Linked DNA regions of Notamacropus eugenii. The protein of the gene in region 2 binds, or shares a complex with, the protein of the main gene of each other region. Links are inferred from orthologs where the notes say so. Each region holds a gene or a part of one and is shown on either strand. Other genes may lie near its edges.

Region 1 (10,415 bases), on a different chromosome or scaffold from region 2:
GTGCCTAGCATATACAAGGAGCCTAATATGTGCTTACTGATTTCCTGAGCAGTTTGGGTCTTTCAGATGGTATGTGACCAGATACCATTGGAGACCTGATAAACATCACCTCAGTACATTCAGCCTAATTTTATTGTGCTGGCATATCCATCATCTTAATATTTGAAGGTTACCAATGAGTTCTAAGTACCTCCTCCCTCATGCCCACTAGTACTATCAACACTTGTTTCTTCACTTATTAGCCGCCCATTGCTCCCTATAGGAATCTATCTCATCAGCACTCTTACCTGAATTATTTCTTCCCTTCCTAGTTCTCACTTCAGAGATCTAATTCAAACATCAATCATGTTTTAGTTGTTGTTCAGTGTTTCAGTCACATTCAACCCCTTGTGACCCCATATAGCATTCCTATACTACCCATGGAGTTTTCTTGGCAAAGATACTGGAGTGGTTTGACATGTCTTTATCTAGCGGATTAAGACAGATTAAGTGACTTGCCCAGGGGTTACACAGCTAGGAAGTGTCTGAAGCTGTATTTGAATTCAAATCTTCCTGATTCTAGGCACAGGACTCTATCCACTGAGCTACCTAGTAACCTCCTATTGTTCAGTAAGTATTAGTCATCACTCTCACCTACATACACTTTCAAGGTTGGGTACTTTTTGAGGAACTGGGAGATTAACAAAGGGTTGGCAGGAGGCAAAACCATTCAATTCAAGAATTTGGATAAATAAGGATAGTCAAAAAACTTGTGTCTTCATATTTTCTGTTGGGGAGTGACTCAAATATTCTTCACTAAGTGCAGAAAAGCAACAAGGTTATCCTTTTGTCTATAAGACGTAAATGCGAAGACACAGTCTGCAAGACTAGGTCAACTTGTTAACCTCATCGTCTTCCTCAAAAGAACCATCTAATGCTTTGACTGTGACAGTGGGTTGTCTTGAGGTCTACAAACAGTGAGAGGAAGATCTCCTGGTTTAATAAAAAAGACTTTAGACCATACCCCATCAGAAAAACAGACAAAGAATTAGGTTTTTCAAAGTATGACTCTACTGCTCCTGGAGGTTTCCTTGTACTCCCTGTGCTTAAGTTTTCTTTAGGTTAACACCTCCCAAAAGACATTTGCACTTGTGGGTTTCCCTACATGCAAAGGGAGAGAGGGAAATAAAGTCAAGAATTTTGGGGTTCTACCACAAAGCCCTAAGGTAAATCTTTGTTGTTTACCGTCAGACATGGATTGATCAGAATATTAAAACTTAATTTTTTAATCTTTCTACTTGTTCAACCCTCAACCTGAAAACATTTGTCACAATGTGTGGCTATTCTCTTAAATTGATCTGAGCTTCAGAGGATTCTTTGGTTAAAATTAATCTGTTCAGAAATTAGGAGAAACTGTGAGACTCCAGAGAATAATAGCCCACACATGCCTGGTGCCTTAAGGTGTACAAAAGGTTTTCCTTAGGACAAAGATAACCTCTTTGGTCACTCAGTCCATTCAGAAGACATCTCTCATGGGCACTGCTGTGTGTGCTATGTTGAATATCAGTGTCACTATAGAGGGGAAGGAATTCAAGACTATCCACAGGACTTAAGAATTTAGAGATAAAAGAAACTAGACCATCTAGTCCAATTTGATTAATTTTTACTGAAGAAAATGAGGACTTTTGAATTCCAATGCAAACATGCTAGTATTCTAAAACAATAATAAAAATGGATATTATTTTTTGATCAGAAAAGGGAATAAGCATTTCTATAGCTACTTCATGCCAGGTGCTGTGTTAAATACCTTTTTACAAATATATTCAGATCATCCTGACTCCAGACCTAGTACTCTATCCACTAAGCCACCTGGCTTCCTCTGATCAATTCAAAGACTTTTCTGCCCCCAATTAAAAAGGAAAAATAGATCTCTAAACCATTTCAGTTTTAATAGCCTACAACATTGATTAAAAAGATATGGCAACTTTAGACTTTCATTTTAGCTTGATTGCTACCAAGTACAGAGAGGAACACAGGCAAACTGCAGCTAGATTCTAAGAAGCAAGTGTACAAAGGGCGTCATTTTAAACTTGTGACAATGGGTTAAGAGAGTCAAAGATGTAAGCTCTTCCTGAATGAGGTCTCCTAGATGTAGGACAAGCTTCTTGTGCCAGAGTCCTGGGTGGTTTGGTAATTCAGAGGACCAATCGTGCTTGCTGGGTCATGAGAACCTTGAATCTCTTCTTGATGGTGATACGGTGTCTGGAGTACTTGTCATCTGGGGAGAATCTGGCTGGGTGCGCTGAACAGGTCTGTTGTCCTGCAGGGTCTGTTTTCTGTTAGGAGAACAAAGAGAACCGAATGTGAATTCTCACATCCAACACTGCCACCAGTCTAGTACAGGCCCCTATTACAGCTATGAAGTGATTTTCCTAAAGTACAGGTTTGATCACATCACCCACCTACTCAAACTTCAGTGTAGCCCTATTGCCTCCAGTATCAAATACAAAACGCATTTTTGGCATTCAAAACTCTTTATAACCTAGCCACTACCTATCATTCCAGTCTTCTTATACCTTACTCCCCCCACCACATATTCTTTGATCCAGTGATACTGACCTCCAGGCTATTTGACAAACTTGGCACTCTTATCTCTTGGCTCCAGGAATTTTCTCTGGTATGCCCCATGGGTGGAACACTACCTACTGAAGTCCCAACTGAAATTCTACTTTCTACAGAAAATCTTCCTCAGCCCCTCTTACTTGCAGTGCCTTCCTCCTTGTTATCTCCTATTTATCCTGTACATAGCTTGCCATATATATATATATACACACATTATAAATATACACACACACACATATATTTGTCTACGTTGTCTCCCTCACCACATCGTAAGCTCTTTGAGGGTACAGCTTACTCTATCCCCAGTGTTTAGCACAGTAGGTTTACTGATTATTTTGGAGCAGAACCAGAGAAAAGGTCGAAAAGACTCGGACAGGCAGGGAGGACGAAGCTGTTTATTTCTCCTCATCCATCCCCTCGCCCCAGCCCCAGCATTACCCTGACCAACAGACCAGACCTGGGCTAAGGACGATTAGGTCCCTAGGCTGTGGGTGCCGAGGGTATGCAGGGACAACCTTTTCCTTCCTTCTGTTTCCCACAGCCTTGTGCATAGTAGGTCTTCATGAAGTCTGCTGACTGTGAGGTGAGATACTCAGACGACAAGGTCTGGGATACACGCTGAATTCCGCGGGATTTAGGGCTGGGCGTGGGGAGCGAGCTCCTTCCAAGCGCAAACCCCACCCAACAGCCCCGAGTCCCCCGGCAGCGCCCCCCGGAATCACCACGGGGGGTCCCCGCTGGAGGGGGGGGGCTCTTCTTTTTACACTCTATGCCGGCGCCAAGCACAGGGTCCGGGCACAACGAAGGCTGCCCGCCTCGGCCTCCGTCCTCCTCCTCTTCTCCCTACACGACCCTCTCGGTACAAGGCAGTGACCCGGGCCGGCCGCTCCCCTCCCTCGGCCTCGGCTCCTTCTTCGTTAAAACAATAACGAGGCCCGACGGAGCCGCCGGTAAGAGCGTCTACACAGGCCGCTGCCCAGCTCGGCCGCGCAGGGCGGGAACGGAGCTCCCTCCTGCGTCTCCACCCCCCAAGTGCGCCTCCTCTCCGTACCTTTAGGGTGTAGACCCGATCCCCTTGCTCGTTGAGGTAATACTGCAGAAACATGGCGGCCAATTCCCTTCGCGAGGCGGGCAGGCCACGGGAAGACTCGGCCACAAGCAGGCTTCCACCTCCGCCTTGGCCCGGGAGCGCGGACCCACCCCCCGACCACGTGTTTGTTCCAGGGACACTTCCGGGAAGTAGAGCCCCCGCGGCATGCTGGGAGGTGTAGTCCCCTCCTCTTCTCCTCCTGCCCTCCTGAAGGGGGAGTCCTCGCCCTGGGATTGCACTAGGGAGCGCATCCCTATGCTGGAAGTTGGGAAGGGAGTGGGCTTCGAATGCCAGGGGAGGCCATTAGCCACAGCCCATTCAGGGATGGAGAGGCCGCTGTTTTTGAACCCAGAACTTGAATATCCCTCCCCTGCATGCAAACTGCAATAAGTAGTCCCATGGAAGAAAAGTAGCGCCCAGAGCCTTAGAGGGGCGAGGAAATCCAGGCGCCGAGGGTGCCCAGGCCGCGGCCAGGCCCTGCCCTCCATCTTGTGCGGCTGAGAACATGGAGGCGCAGGCCAGCTCAGGCCCTGGCTCCCCTTCGCCCAGGGGGTAAGTAGAGGCACGAGGGCCGGGGCGCCCAGGCCTGCGCCGCACCCTCCGGGGGTGCAGAGGCGGCCCGGCCAGGTGCACGGGGAGGGGCGCTGCGCTCGGAGGTGGGAGATGGGGACCTGCACCGCCCACTCACCTGGGAGCCGCGGGGGGGACGAGGCTGGAAGGTGCCCCTCCGCCCCCACCACGCACGTGGAGAGCTGGCGAGGACCCGCCCAGCCTCGTGGCCCAGACGTGGAACTGGGGCCGGCCACGTTGAGTGGCTTGCCCATTCAGGGTCGTCGCCTGAGTTGGGTTCTGAATTCAGATCCTCCCCGCCGAGCTCTCCTCCCCCTCTTCCCTAGAACATTCCTCGGCCCCCTGGCCTGGCCCTCACTCTTCCCTCCCTTCCCCCACTGCGTAGAATGCACGGGTTTCCAGGTTCCAGTTCTGTTTTGATTCAATCTTTTCCCTTCTGCTGCCCTCAATTCTTGGGCAGCTACTGTGACCAGGTGGCCTTCTGGGCCCTGGCCCTGACCCTTGTGCCATCCTGGAGGCTGCTAGGCAGCCCCGATTAGTGCCCAAGCCAGAGGGTCCAGTCCCAGATGGAGGTGAGCGGAGCTGGGGGCCTCTCACAAAGATCCGTGCCCCCTATCCCCTCGAGCCCCAGGGAAAGAAATTTGGGACTGTAGCCCTGGGGATCACCTTTGTGACCTGCACTGTGGGACCCAAGAGGAAGACAGACCAATGAATCCATCCCATGCTCAGGCAACAGACCCGGGGAGGTTGGGGAACCAGTTTGGAGCCTTGGGGTTCACAGAGCCAGCCTCTTCAGAGCTGATTTGGGATGCCTTGGAGGAACTGAGCCAGGGAGCTCTGAGTTGAGAGAGAAGACCCACTAGCAGATTGACTTAAATAGGCAAGAAGCCTCCAGTCACTAGGCATTAGCCACCTTAAAGAAGGACAAAAGGACTTAGTAGAATTAGGTCTAACACTTACGTCCTTCTTTCTGGCAGAGACCCTGTTTTCCCAAGTTTTTGCTTTAGAAATTGATATTTCAGCAGGGATATATTCAATCAGAGAGGACAGAGGGAATTGGATGGAAAAGACTTTTGACAGAAATTTGGCCAGAGTGGTCCTCTTTTGCAGAGGCATGCCCTGAACCTACCAAGAGACTAGGAGGCTTGGGGAGAACCTCAAAACAATACCCCCTCCCCCCTTTCCCCATAGATTAATATAGAATACAATAACTGCCCTAGGGTTGAATACCTCAGTTTCCTTGACACCTAGAAACCTCTGTTTTTGTTTGCCCAGGGAACTTCTGGAACTTGTTTCTTGCATTTATCAGGGGCTGAAGGTTGGGGAGTATTGGGGAGGTGGTTAATACATAGTTATTCAACCACAGCTGGAACATAGGCAGTACTGATTTACTCTGAGTTGTTTCATCTATCCTAGGATCCTAGGCCCTCTAACCCATTTCATCTTGTTCCCTCCCTCTTTCTGTTATGGCTAGCATGTCCTGACCCTTCCCTGCTTGTCATCAGAGTGATGAGCTTGTCTACCATCATCCATGACTCCATGATCTTATTTTATGGTCAGGGAGGTAAACTGTGTGTGAGTTTCACGTCGTTTGTGGGATAAGGTGGATTGTTAAATTCTTGTTATTATTAAATGGAGGCATCTCCTTAGAAGGCATCTTATGTATTATATGTGGTGTTATATTTTCTTGTATTCCCAGTGCCTTGTGCCTCGGAAGTGCTCAATAATTACTTGTTAATTTGAAAGCCCTTGTCCTTTCCATTACTGAAGGAATAACCTAGGTAAACGATAGAGAGAATCAGAATCAGTGTTAGGAGCAACTGCCACACTTCACGGGGTCTATCTGCTAGCTCTCTGAAGCGTAAGAAAACCTGTCATTTTTATCCACCTAGTCTACTACTACCTCCTTTTGACTAGTTTTTACTCCTCTGGAGTGGAGAATCTCTAGGAATCTGTATGGGCTTCCCCTCCTTACCTTAAGAAGATTCTAGAAGGAAGATTATTAAGTGGCTAGAGATGGCTGGGAGTAGGGGGAATGTCTCTGATTTTACTTCTATAAGCAGAAATGAATGAGTTGTTAATTGGAATGAGAGTTTTAGGGATAAATTGGTTATGGCTATAGAACTTTTTTTATTGTACTTTTAGATGAGAAGAGGAATAGGGGACTTAAAAAAAGGAGCAAGGAGATGAAAAAGGGGAGGAATGAAGAAACAGGGCCAGGAACCTCTCTCAATTGATCTCTAATTTAGGAACACCAAAGGAGCCTAGGGAAGGGCCAGATTCTAGATTCTCCCATCAGATGCTCAACCTCCTAGTTGGGGACATACTTTGAGTTGTTATCTCCTGCATGTCAACCCTGTTCTATGTCTTGGGACACCACACAGTGGAGGTAGACTTCTAAGAATATCCTTAAAGAAGTTGTCAGTGATATTGTAGACATTTTTTTTTATTGGACTGGTAAAGATGTTTACCCTATGAATTAGGGGACCAGCTCTGCAATGTATCAGGGTCCAAAGGGTCCCCAGATGTTGAGGCCTCTAGCTGCCTCATTTCCTGCTCCAATCCCTCCTTTTTCTCAACAGCTCCTTCATTGTCTGGACCTGAAATGACCCCGAAGCCTGGCCCTGTCCCACCCTGTACTTCACTTCCATTACCCCCACCCCCTCCAGGACCATCAGACAAGCCTCTCTGGGAGCCACCACCTCAAACTCCCATTTCTTCACCATTCCCACCGGGTAGCCCCCTGGTTCTGTCTGCTTTCCCTAGTACATTGCTGGTGACAGGGGATGGGGGAGCAGGCCCTAGCGGGGGTGGGGCTGGTAAGGTCATCGTCAAAGTCAAGACAGAGGGGGGCCCATCTGAAGCCCCCCGAACTCAGACCTTTATCCTCACTCAGACTGCCCTCAATTGGATTGCCCCAGGTCCTCCCCGTGGGGGCCCTGAAGGCCCCACTCCCCGGTTCCTGGCAGCCACCAATGTCAAGACCATTCTTCTTGCTAAGGCTGTTGGGGTGGCCCAGGCTGGTGAAGGAGAGGGACCCCCTACCCATCCTCCCCTGGCCCCACCACCCACCGCCCAACTAGCTCCAATTATACCCCCAGAAAAGGCTTGGCGGGGGCCAGATGGGACTCCTGGGGAGGGAGGTCCACCTCCACCTTGTCCCAAACCCTCTCTGGGTGACCTTTCCTGCACCTCCAAGGGTGTTTATGAGAACTTTCGTCGCTGGCAACGCTACAAGGCACTGGCCCGGAGACACCTGCCCCGGAGCCCTGATGCAGAAGCGCTTTCCTGCTTCCTCATGTGAGTGCTTGCTTTTGGAGTTACGCTTGTAGACTCCTTCAGACTTTTTATTCTTGGAAGGAAGAGTCAGGAGAAGCCTGATGGATTATAGACTAAAGTTGTTTGGAAATATCCGATGGTAGGTCAGGGGCCACAGTGCAACTTCCCAGAAAAAAGATAGTTCCTTCACATTCATTTGTAGGCAGAGCAGTTAAAATGGGTCAGCAGGACAGGGATATTCCTAAGGGGATGAGGGTCTGTAAACAAAAAACACTTTGTGCCTTTAGCTTCTATTTATACTGTGTGATCAAGTTTAAATAACCATCAAGGGCAGCCTTGAAAGGGAAAAAAGGTCGCAAGAGGGTGGCATACATTCTAGGAGATATATAGATATACATCTATATATATATTTTATCCTCACAACAAGCCTGTGAGGTAGGTGCTGTTATCATCCCTATTTCCCACTTGAAAAAACTGAGGCAAATAGAGGCTAAGTGACTTGTCCAGGGTCACATATCTGAGGCAGGATTTGAATTCAGGTCTTCCTGATTCCAGGCCAGAGCAATAACTATTTCTCTATCCAGCTGCAAAATTTATCGAAAGTAATGTTGGTGGGTACTAGCAGCTAGAAGAAATCAGGAAAGACTTCATTTGGAAAGGGAGCTAAGGATTTTAAGAGAGAAAGTTAAGGAGGGTATGCGTTCCAGGCATGAGAAATGCCCTCTGCAAAGGCATAGATGTAGGAGTACCAACAGACTTGGGCTGCTGAGTCTTCTTCATTTTGCTGACAAAAAAGTGGGTTGAACAGACCAGAAGCATCTAGAAGGTTCCTGTCCCTTCCAAAAAAATGTGCTTGATACATATTCCTTAATTTATGCTTCATTTGTGTTAACAAGCTTTTGCTTAAGATTCAAATGCTCTTGTCAGAATTAGGCTTATCAGTGAGTCATGCCTTATTATGAGTTATCTTAATTATATAATTAGGTTATTCAAGCGTAGCGACGGATAGTGTGCTAGACCTGGAATCAGGAAGTCCTGAGTTCAGTTCCTTCCTCAGAGCAATTACTAGCCCTGTGACCCTGGTCAAGTCACTTAACCTCTGCCTGTCTCAGTTTCCTCATCTGTAAAATGGGGATAATAATAGCATCTATTTCCCAGACATTGTGAAGTCAATGAAGTAATATTTGTAAAGTGTCATCATCCTCATCCTCATCCTCATCACTCCCAACATCCCTAAGATCATCACATTAAGGAAATGGGAGTTTTGAATGGGGAAGGTGTCGGGATGGGAGAGGTCATTTTTGAGTGTAGGATGCTATTTAGGAGGCGGGCTGGCTTATAGTAAGTAGGGTGTTATACTAGGGTGCCTTGGGCCACTAGAAAACAGCATGAGGGTAGTAAGTCCTTGAGGTTGGGAGTGCAGTGAGAAAAAGGGAAGTTCAGGAAACTGGGAGGAAGGCACAAAAAGGGAAGCAGAGCAACACTGATAAGCTCTGCAGTCACTATTCCTGACCTGTGAAAGGTGTCCCATGTGCTGTATGTTGCCTGTTCAAGCTTTCAGGCGTCTGGGCTTAGCTACTCCTGAAAAGCTTTTGTAATGATCGATACAAAGATGTTAATTAGGTCTGAAGGCATGTCAGCCACAAACATGTGGTTGCTTCCTTCACCAACAGACTGCAAACCCACTATACCTCTGTGGACAGCTTTATGAGTTCCTGTGAGTCCCCCAAACATCATCATCTGGTGGGAAGTCTGGCAATGAGCCTCTCCAAATTTAGCTAGGCCAACCCTCGGTTAACGGGATCTGTACTTAAGCTCTTCCAGCTTGGAGAGTTTGGGGACAGCTTTAGAGAACCTATGTAGTACTAGAGTAGAATTTGAGTGGTCTCTCTCTGTCTCTTTTTGTCTCTTTGCCTCATCGTCTCTCTGTCTTTTATGCCACAGCTCCTCAAATCTAGCAGCTGTTCCATCACAGGTTCTGTGTGATAAATTAATTAATCAAAAAGCTTTTAATGCCTGCTGTGTGTTGGGGATACGAACACAGAGAATGAAACAATTCTTACTGTGTACTGAATGTACACACATTCTGAAAGATTTGCCCAATTTCTGATAGAGCAAGGGATGGATGGGGAAGGAATTACCATGTCTGATTGGATGTGGGCTGTGATAGAGACAGAGAGATGAGTGAGATCTGATGGGGATGGGAAGGTAGACGGTGGATGAAAGGAGTGAGTGTGAAGTGAGTAGGTGCCAGGATAGGTGTATGTGTAAAAGGGTCATGATGGGGAGAAGCCTAAGTAGGATGTGACAAGAATAGGGGTGTTTTTAGCCCAGTGCTTCGTTCCTTGGCCCGGCTAAAGCCAGCTATGACCCTGGAGGATGGACTGCCACGGGCGGTGCAGGAGTGGGAGCGAAGTAGCAACTTTGACCGAATGATCTTCTACGAGATGGCAGAAAAGTGAGTTTGACCTTTGTTCTCTTGACTGAGGAGGGATTTATGGTAGGGATCATTTGATGGGATGACTATGGGTGGGGTGGGCATGAGTCCAGGGAATCTCATGGCAGATTGGTATCCTCAGGGTATGTGATAGGGCAGAACAGATGTGGGAATGACAGGAAGTCTCATGGGTGCTTGGTGTCCCACCCCTCTTATCTTGCAGCACGTTCTCAGCCTAATGCCTTCTCTTGTTAGATGTTCCTGTTGTATCCATTATTTTACCCATCATGAGCTTCTCTCAGGATAGGCTGATTTATAACCCTTTCCCACCTACCTGCTCTGTATCTCCAACTAGATTCCCCCAGTCATCTCCAACTGAACTCACAGCTGGGAGAGCTTAGGCTCTCTTTCCTCCCAGATCCCTCTTTCCAGTTCTCC
Region 2 (9,722 bases):
GATGGCAAACGTATCATATTCTGATAACAAGGAAGTCAGCTCTTTTGGTAAAGGGGATGTTCCCAATATGCCTTGGCTGGTCTTCCGTAGGGCAGATGAGACCCAGAGACAGACATGCTGTGATAGCCCTGTCCATGGTGTTTTGAAAAGCTGACTGAGAACAGCACCACATAGGAGGAGTTGGGGGGGCAAGGTCCTTTTGTTAGACCCAAAACATCTGTGACTAAGGAAGATGTGTGGTTTGGGGGTGTTTCTTCACTTTGGCTGTTGTCTGTTAAGCAGAGAACTGAGTTCTGGTGGACGGCTGCAGGTTGGGTACAGACACTGTTATCCCTGCTCCAGCACCTGATGCCTTTCCTTGTTCTGTTCTCCCTAAGCCCACTTATCTTATATGCACCCCTGTGCCAGTTGTTTTGCTTAATGTCTGTTTAAGGTAGCCACAAACATATAACATCAAGATATATTGCTCCACCTCCTTCCCCTTGTTATCTTGCACTGCAGTTTGTGTATCTAGATCTAGCTCTACAATCTTAGGTCTGCCCAAGTGTGGTGCCAGTCACTTACTACTGTACAGTGTTTCAATTGTATTTACCAGTTTTACAATGTAAATAGCCTAGGCAGACTTGGATGCAGCTGTTTTATAACTGAACAAATAAATCACTTGCCTTCTCTGTAATTACTCTCTCTTTGCATTTCACTTAATACCAAAGATTGGGGATTGCATGGGTAAGAAGACTACCTGCTGGGCCACTGGCTGCCTCACAGCTGATTGAAAAAAAAGCAAATGTATCAATAAGGCCAAAGGAAAAGAAAATCTGTTTTAGCCAGAAGAGCTCAGCTTTTGGGGGCAGAAGGGATGCAAGCAACCTCTTCTGATAAACCTTTTCTTCCTTGGAAGGCACTTCAAATTAGCTCCATGTGAAGGTATTAGGTGACCCAATTTTAAACAAAATTGGGATGCAGCAAAGTGCTATGATGCTGCCAACTATTGGTACATTTACTATGACTTGTTTTTGAAGACCTATTTCAAGCTTTGTAGGGTGTCTTGATGTACTACCCCTATTTGCTAGGTTCTAGTAAGACTCTGGAGTCTGAGCTCTCTCTAATGAGTAGGAACTGGAGGCAGAGGCCTTTCCCTGGGGCTTGCTCATTTTAGGGGTGGTGATGGTGGAGGCAAGGATTCCATTAGTCTTTCAGAATGGTATGTCAGCATTTTTCATTGGTTCCAGTGTTCCATACTTGGAAAAAAAAAAAAAATGAAACCAGAACCCTCCTACCTCCCACACAAACTACTAGAAATTATTTTTTCAAAACTTTATTTTACTGCTTAGTAGCAAACAGCCTTGACAACCACAATGTTACTGGCCAAAGTGAAATTACTGTTTGAGCTATCATAAAAAAAAAAAAACCTCTGGGAATGCCGGCAGGGAGATGATGGAGGGCCAGGCACAATGAAGCAGTCTTTTTCAGTCAAGAAGGGTCTACCAAATAATCATGAACTTCACACTACTTTTCTTTACAAGGGGACCGGAAGAGATTCTACTTCCTCCAGGCAGTCATCATATGTAGCCTGGTAGTCCTCATGTGGTTTAATCATGATCACGCAAGTTGGGCGCTTAGAGCCAGCAGCTGCTCCCAGATCCTATAAGATGGAAATAAAAGGGCTAGTTTTTCTTAAAATTTCTTTTAAAAGATTATTACTTGCTAAGTAACTTCAAATAATCATCATTGACAACTCGGAAATACCTCTTCAGAGGTTCAGGAATAAACACTTATCAGGACTAAGTCAGGAGACCTAAATTAACGTTATTCCTGTCTCTAAAATATCTTATTTTCACATGCTTTTATACTGCTAAAACAGGCAACATTGCAGACAGCAACTACAAAAAGTTCTTACCGTTTTCGAGGGAACATAGGCATAAGGCATACTCAGATCCTCACACATAATGGGGAGATGGCAGTATACCTCGATGGGTAATGTATCCCCAGCCAAAACCATAATCCTGTAATGAAATGAGTCATTTGTGTTTTCATCTTCTGTTAGAATGAAAAATTCTTAACTTGGAATATCTCTAGTCAAGAGGTTTTTTTTTAAGGGCAGGGACAGAAGGGGGTTAAGGACATGCATAATTCTTGGGTATTATGCTTGTGAAAAGTGCAATGGAAAGAATGGTTCCAGCTCCAGCCCTAACTTTTCAGACCTTGAACAAGTTACTCTTCCTTTCCGGCTCTCAGTTTTTTTGTTCTGAAATTCAGGGATTGGGCTAAATGCTAAAGGACTCTCCATGACTTTATCTTGGTGTTGAAACCTGAATGTATGGGGTTACTTTCTCTACTGCAGATCCCAACTCACTAGTAGGCAATGTTATTGATCCACCCCCAATACACCTTTTTTTAAAAAAATAATTTGTCTCTCCCACAATCTCCCTCCCACTGAACAATAAAAAAACCCTTGTCACAGGTACCCACAGTCCAGCAAAACAATTCCCACCTTAGCTATGCACCAAAATGAGTGTCTGTCTGCATTTTTAGCTCTCTTGCAGGAATCGAGTAGTGTATTTTATCAAGCTTCTGGACTTACAGTTTATCGTTGCATTGGCCAGAGTTCTAAAGCCTTTCAAAGCTTTTCTCTGCAATGTTGTTTTCAAATAAACTGTTACAATTTTGCTCACTGTGGTAAAACATCTGCTTGGTAATTATCAGGGATTAAGTTTTATAAAGTAAGGTGACATACTCAACTTCCTCTGACAACCAAAACATAATATGCCTTTTTGGAGACAATTTGACTCGTAAAAATAGTCCCTGACGTATGTCCTTTCTTCATTGCTAGACTGGGGACGGCAGGATAATACATTTAGATCTCTGAAGCCAACCCCCACATTCTAAAGATGAAGCAGTTGATGCTCAGGGCATTGAAGTAGCGTTCAGAGTCACAAGCCAGTTAAGTGTCCAGGTAGGATCCGAGAGGCCATTTCCTTGGCTGGATCCAGCAGTCCTGACTAGTCCAGGTCGCCTCTCATGGCTTACTCATCTGTGTATTTCACACAGTAGGCACTCAGTGAATATGTGATGGCGGAATGGAAAAAAAGAAGGCTGAGAGTTTTAATTTGCTCACCTGTGTGGAGTGCACTATTACTAAACCAGCCTGGTTTCTGGAGGAAGGCCTGAGAGAAACGCCAGGCATGGAGGAACTTCCATGGTAATGCTACGCTGAGACAGCTAGGGTTGGAGTCGGAGACACACGAGCGCAAAGCGTGCCTCAGACGTTAGCTGGGAGACCCTGCGCAGGTCACTTAACCTTGTCGGGAATAACAGCACCTACCTTAGGGGGCTGTCAGCGAGGTTCAAACAACGTGTGCAAAGCCCTTCGCAAACCTTAAAATCCTATATAAATGTTGGCCTTTATCACGTCTAAGACGCAGGGGGTCGTCGGCGCTTACCCCTTTTCCCCTTTGTTAAGGAATTTCTGAACTTCCTTCACGCCTCGCCGGATCTGCTTCTGCTTCACGGCTGGAAGGATCGGAAGAGTCAGTTCTGAGCCTGCCCCTCTCACTCCTCGGCTTCCCCATTCTTTCTGCCCGACTCCCTCCCTTCTCCCTCGGCTTCCTCCTCGGCTCCCCCTTCTTTCCCCACAGCCACAAACGCAGCTTCTCCGTCCTCCCCGGCCCACCTTTCTTGATGCACTTGTACAGTTTCCGAGTCAGGCGGCGGGACGCCAGGGGCTGCGCAATGGGGTTCAGGTTCGACAGCATCTCCTCGTAGGTGCGCTCAGGAGCCCCGGAGCTTTCCGGCGCCGCCTCCGACTCCTCCACTTCCCGCTTTACTTTGGTCATCTTCACGGTACCGCCGGCTCCCGAGGTCGCAAGCTTCGGATGCTCCCAAAGCACGAGCGAGCCACCGCTAGAACGACTTCCGGGTTATGCGGCCGCGCCCCGAGCGAACTCGGCGACGTCACGGTCTCCAGGCAATCTGAAGCGAGGCACAGGGAAGTTCCCGCCTCCCGCCCCTTCTCAACCAATTGTCGTGGCGTCTGGATCTCGCGGCTGTGGCAGCGGGCCGGAGCTCCAAGGCAAGCTGGGAGGAGGGCAGGCTCCAAAGCTCCTGGAGCCGGGAGGCGGGGCCCGGGGATGGAGGAGGAGCCAGAGGCTTAGGTTCGAGGCGGAGCCCAGCGTGGAGGGAAATGGGAGGAGGGAACAGAGTGAAGTGAGGAATGAGTCTCGGGAAGAGGCTTGAGTTGTGGAGCGGTACAAGGTGCTGGAGACTAGTGCGGGGCAGTACTTGGGTCTGGGACGGCAAGGAAGCCACTCCCGTGGAGAGGAAAGGGCCGCATTCTGGATCCTGGGAAGGCGAGGGGCGGAGCTCTTGGTCATGAAGGGGTGTGGGCTCTGGAACTATTTAGGAAAGTAGCCCTGAAGCGCTGAGGGTCCTTTTCCCGGTCACTGACGGGGAGGAGGCGGTGCCAGGAAGTGGATTGGGCCCTGAGCCACCGAGGGGGCGGTTTCATGGGGGTTCAGGACCGGCAGGGCCTTCTGGTCTGGAGAAGAGATAGGACTTGAGGCAGTAGAGGGCGGGGTCCAGAAAGGGGTAAGACTTGCAGGAGGTCCCAGGGAAGCGGATAGGGCTCCGAGGCAATAGGGGGCGGGGTCAAAGTGGGGCGTGGCCTTCCAGAGGTGTTTGGGGAGGAATAGGGTCCTGAGGCAATAGGGGGCGGGGCCAAAAGTCAGCGTCTGGGGTGGGATTGGGTGCGGGGGGAGTAGGGGGCGGAGCTCCGAGGGGGCTGGATCGAGTTGAGTGTTAGACTCAGCGCCGAGGTGTTAGCGGAGCTCAGGCGTCCTGGGGTCTGGTGGCTAGCATATTCCTGCCTTAACCTTGCTTCTGGGATATGATAATTTTTCCCTCCCGAGCATCCTTCTTGGCCTCTTCCTCCTGGCACCCTCTGCTCTTGAGGCAGGATGAGGTGGCCTGTCTAGTGGTGGCGCCTCTGCGACCTGCTGGGCTGGACTTGCCGGGTGCGCCGGGAGCCCTGAGCGTCCTCCCTTCCCGGCCAGAGCCCGGAGGCTTACTGGACTGCCTGGAATTGACTGAGAATATGGGGCTCCTAGTTCTCTGCCACCTATACCCCATGGCTTCAGTGTGGGTTTGTGCCCCCGAACCCTGAAAGGAAGTTTCCCTGGTCCGTTTGGCTTTCTGTGGTTTCCCGGTCCCAAAGAAAGACGCATCTGTTTGTTTCTTCCTTACCTGGAAGGGACTGTGTCTCCGGGTCAAGACTGATAAAAATGCGCATCACACGTCTTTTCACCACTTTGGGTGAGTCATATTGCTCCACTCCCGGATTTGCCGTTTATCATTTGACCGAGATTTAACGGTTTTGTGCCTCAGTTTACTCATCTGTAAAATCAGTTTGACTAGATGATCTCTGAAGGACCCTTCCACGTTAGCTTTAGGCTGTGACGCTAATTAATAATATCCCAATATGAAATGAACTGCTCCTGGAAGTTCGGAGTTGCTAGTTACTTATTAGACTTAAAAGCTTATGAGATTGAATGAACCTCCTGTTGAAGTAATGTAGAGAGGAATTCTGAACTGGGGGCATAATTGGATTAGCCGACCACCTAGAGCACTTCCAGCTCTATATAAATGAATGCTTGAAATCCATGTACTTGTGAAGCCTCCCCATTCTTCTTCCCCAATTAAGGGCAACAATAACTTAACTAGTTGAGAAATATATATTTAAAGAAGGATTGTAAAACACTTTACTAGCCATATATTTTAGGCTAGTGAAACAATGACAGGAATGTAAAAGTGGAGTAAACCTATTGTATATGGGAAATATTTCACATATTCATCAAGGCATTCTTGTAGAAGAGGTCACAATCCATGAAGTCTATGAGGTAGTGCTTGCCACATAATAGCTACTGCAGTAATGACTTGAGTTGAACTGAGTAGAAGGTGAGAGGGTCAGTGCAACTTGACTTGTTTTAGCCAGACACTTATGAGCTGATTGTTAAAGATCCATAAAAACTTGAGGTCTTAATTTAAAGCCTTATTAACTAGAGTCTCCTTTTTCTCCACCACTTAGAGTAAAAAGAAAAGTTATGGGATTTCACAGGAGAGGAAAAAGGGGAAAAGGAAAGAAATGAAGGTTTAGGCAAAGAATGACATTTTTGAGTTTCCTGCTGTTAACTTCATCATGGTATAATTTTTTCTGCTTTTGTTTATCTCTTTAATTGATCCACATATAGCTATGTGAATGAATTTTCAGACAAAGGAATTACTTGGTTTATAAAGACGAACTTCAGGATGCTTTTGCAGGAGTTTGCTATGAAATTTACCATTCTTTGCTTTCAGAATATCTTTTTTGTTTTTTTGTGGAGGTGGGTGGGAGGAAAGAGGGGGGAAGGTCCTTATACTGTTTAGAAAGTGATTTGCTAGAGAATTTGGGAAATGGTGATAAGGAAGTGTTTGTACTTCAACAATTCAAATATCTGGGGCTTTATGGGTATAAGTTGTTCACCCATCTCATCTGTATCTGACTCCTTGTGATCCCATTTGTGGTTTTCTTGACAAAGCTGCTGGAGTGGTTTGCCATTTCCTTCTCTAGCTCATTTTACAGTTGAGGAAATTGAGGCAAAAGGGTTAAATGACTTGTCCTGGGGCACACAGTTAATAAATGTCCAAGGTCAAATTTGAACTCAGGTCTTCCTGAATCCAGGCCTGGGGCTTTATCCACTGCCACCTAGCTGCCATAGGTGTGAGTACTTCTGCTAGTACATATCAAAACCCTCAGCAGCCTTGGACAATCTTAATGAATTGATATGGCTGAAAAATTCATTCATTTAATAATGGATCAACAAACTCTGGTTTTGAACTTTTCTATAGTTAGCTTGTCTGTTGATTTGCAGACAGACTTGGTATGACATTCCAGAGGCTTGAGCTCTGTTGACATATAACTTTGAAGAACCCAGGATTACCTCCTTTGGTCCCTTATTATGACACAATGGACTTTAATGAGGGTGAGGGGAAAAGATTTTTGGAAGTGCTGGTAAGATGGTGAGAAGATTAAGATTGATCCTGTATCACTTATTTATTGATCCTATTTACAATTACCTGTAACTGTTTTTGTCCTGTAATTGTTTAAATCATGATTCTTTGTTTCTGAACTTAGTTCAGAATTTAGCTGGCCTGTAATGGGTTAATTTAGAAATCCAGCTCCCTGTTAATCACTGATCTGCTCTTGCCACAAGGAATTTAGCTGACCTTGGGGAATGCTTGTAGAGAGTTCTGACTAATATCTATACACCAAGCTATCCTTTAAGGATGTCTGCTTTGCATCTAGACTCTTGAGAGGGAAGGAATGGGGTTGTTGCTAGTTCAAATTACCAAACTTCCAACCTTTCATGTTGCTCTTGACCATATGCTGTCACCTACCCAGTTCTGTTTTTTGTTCTGTATTCCTCAAAAACTATAAAGGGGGAACTATCCTTTTGCTCAGGGTCTTTGGCATAGATGAAGACAATCCATCGACCCATTTATTGACAGGCAGCAAGCCCCTGTTAACAAATGTTATCTTGCTTATAGAATTGCCTCAGTTTACCCTTTTGTTAAATTTCAATCATGACAGTGATAATAATTGTTGAGGTGTACAGTATTGTATGGTTTATAAAACACTTCACATATGTTCTCATTTAATCTTCACAACAAAATTGTGAGGCAGGTAATATCTTCAAATTAGGAAAATGAAGGGCTCAGCTAATAATCGGTAGAACAGGCACTCAGGCCCAGGTCTTATGATTCAAATCTAGTATTCTTTCTGTAGCTGCCTCTTGAGAATTAGATAACCAACTTCATCAAGTTACTGGATTCTTGACTCTCCTGGTCAGAAGATGGACCTGACACTTGGACCAGGGTACCTTTCATATCATCTTACTATGGCAAACAAAACTTAGACATGAGACAGAATTAGAGAACTTACAAATATCTGATTGTGTATGTATGTTTACATACACCTCTTGAACATGTGAAATATTTTTTTTAAACTCAAATTCTTTACATTTCTCTTCACTAACTTTCATCATATTCAATCCAACCCAATGTTCTATCTTGCTATCCAGTGTGTTAGTCATCCCTCCCAGTTCTATGTCATCTGCAAGTTTGGTAAGCTTGCCATTTATGCCTTTAATCCAAGTCATTGATAGCAATTTTAAATTGCCCGGGACCAAGTCCCTGTTCTCTTTACTAGAGATCTCCATCCAGTAAGATACTGAATCATTAATGATTTTACTTTGGTTCTGACTATTCACCCAGTTCTGAAGTTGTGTAACTGTATTATTGTCTAGCAAATGTTTCTCCATCTCTTATATCAGAGAGCATGAGATATTCTCCCCTCCTTATATAAAGTAATAAATAGATAAAAAAAGGTGTGTGTGTGTGTATGTTGTGTGTGTGTGTGTGTGTGTGTGTGTGTGTAGTTACTCTGGCATGATGTGCTCTTGCTAAAGTCATGTTGACTCTCTTACCACTTCCTTTTCTAGGTGTCCACTAATCAATCATTCAGCAAGCATTTATTAAGTACCTCCTAAGGCCAGGCCCTGTACCAAGTGCTGGAGATAAAGAAATGTAGCAAAGGGAGATGTGTACATAAATAAGTGTATCCAGGAGCTATGCAAAATGAGAGCAAAGTAGTTTGGGGAGGATTAGAAAGGAAGGCAAGTGAGACTAGAACACAGGAGAACTGAAGGCCGATTTAAGAAGGGTGAAAGGTTGGAAGATGACAATCAGAATTCAGCGTCATAGAGGTGTGCAACGTTTATGGGTTACAAGAGCAGTGGTATGATGCCCAACCGCTTTGGATGCCTGAGGTAGAATAGATGTGAGAGTAGGGGAAAATGATATTCTAGGATGTTTCAGGGGAGGGAATTCACATGAATATTGAAATTACCAAGAATGAGGTCATGGTATATGGGGTACAGAGGAAGACTATGAGTCAAGTATTGGTTGAGAAAGGAGGGAGAGGAACCTGGAGGTCAGTGGTCTCAAATTAGCAAGCATGTATTAGATATCTACTATGTGCTAGGCACTGTGCTTATTAGGGTTGGACATACTAAGACAAAAGGAAAAAGAATCCTTGCTCTCAAGGAACTTATATTTTACTGAGGTGTAGTGGGTGGGGAGGGAATGCAGCATAGAAACACACACACACACACACACACACACTCAAGATAAGTTGAGGAACAAGACAACAGTAACCACAAGGGGTTAAGGAAAAATTTCCCATACCATATGGCATAAGAACTGAACTATGAAAGAAACTATTTTCTAAAAAGCAGCGCTAAGTGCATATATTCCAGGCTGGAGGATGATGTGTCTTAGGAGAAAGCCGTGTTTCTGTGAGGGTGAGAAGATGGAAAGAGTGTGTAGAATTATAGGGAGTCTATTTTTTTATGGGTATAGGGGGGTTTTTTTGGTTTAAATTTATTTAATTTTAGTTTTCAACATTCACTTCCATAAGCTTCTGCATTTTAAATTTTCTCCACCTTCCTCCCTGGCCCCCACCCATGAGGAGTTTATTAAAAGAGAGCAAGGCAGGCTAAAGGAGTGTAAGGAAGAGAGAAAAAGGCGTAAGGCTGAGTTGGATGGTTTTTTATTCAAACTTGTGATTTCATTGGAAACCCCCTTTATTGGTGCAGATTGGCAGCTCATTTATGATTTAGGGATCATAGATT

What was found.
Region 1: NHP2 (region 2) and NOP10 share a complex: the UniProt entries of both Homo sapiens proteins name them as parts of the H/ACA small nucleolar ribonucleoprotein (H/ACA snoRNP) complex. The link is inferred for Notamacropus eugenii from reciprocal best matches to the Homo sapiens genes NHP2 and NOP10.

Annotation. Positions count from the first base shown.
Region 1 is NC_092878.1:17,204,970-17,215,384, reverse strand, and holds NOP10 (H/ACA ribonucleoprotein complex subunit 3), read right to left. Parts: upstream 3,910-10,415; 5' UTR 3,707-3,909; coding exon 3,653-3,706; intron 2,316-3,652; coding exon 2,175-2,315; 3' UTR 1,626-2,174; downstream 1-1,625. Other genes in the region: NUTM1 (NUT family member 1), read left to right, coding at 6,867-7,561, 9,870-9,998. UniProt on the Homo sapiens protein: Required for ribosome biogenesis and telomere maintenance. Part of the H/ACA small nucleolar ribonucleoprotein (H/ACA snoRNP) complex, which catalyzes pseudouridylation of rRNA.
Region 2 is NC_092872.1:414,757,349-414,767,070, forward strand, and holds NHP2 (H/ACA ribonucleoprotein complex subunit 2), read right to left. Parts: upstream 3,867-9,722; 5' UTR 3,834-3,866; coding exon 3,671-3,833; intron 3,511-3,670; coding exon 3,441-3,510; intron 2,004-3,440; coding exon 1,898-2,003; intron 1,643-1,897; coding exon 1,517-1,642; 3' UTR 1,300-1,516; downstream 1-1,299. Other genes in the region: E3 ubiquitin-protein transferase RMND5B, read left to right, coding at 1-24. UniProt on the Homo sapiens protein: Required for ribosome biogenesis and telomere maintenance. Part of the H/ACA small nucleolar ribonucleoprotein (H/ACA snoRNP) complex, which catalyzes pseudouridylation of rRNA.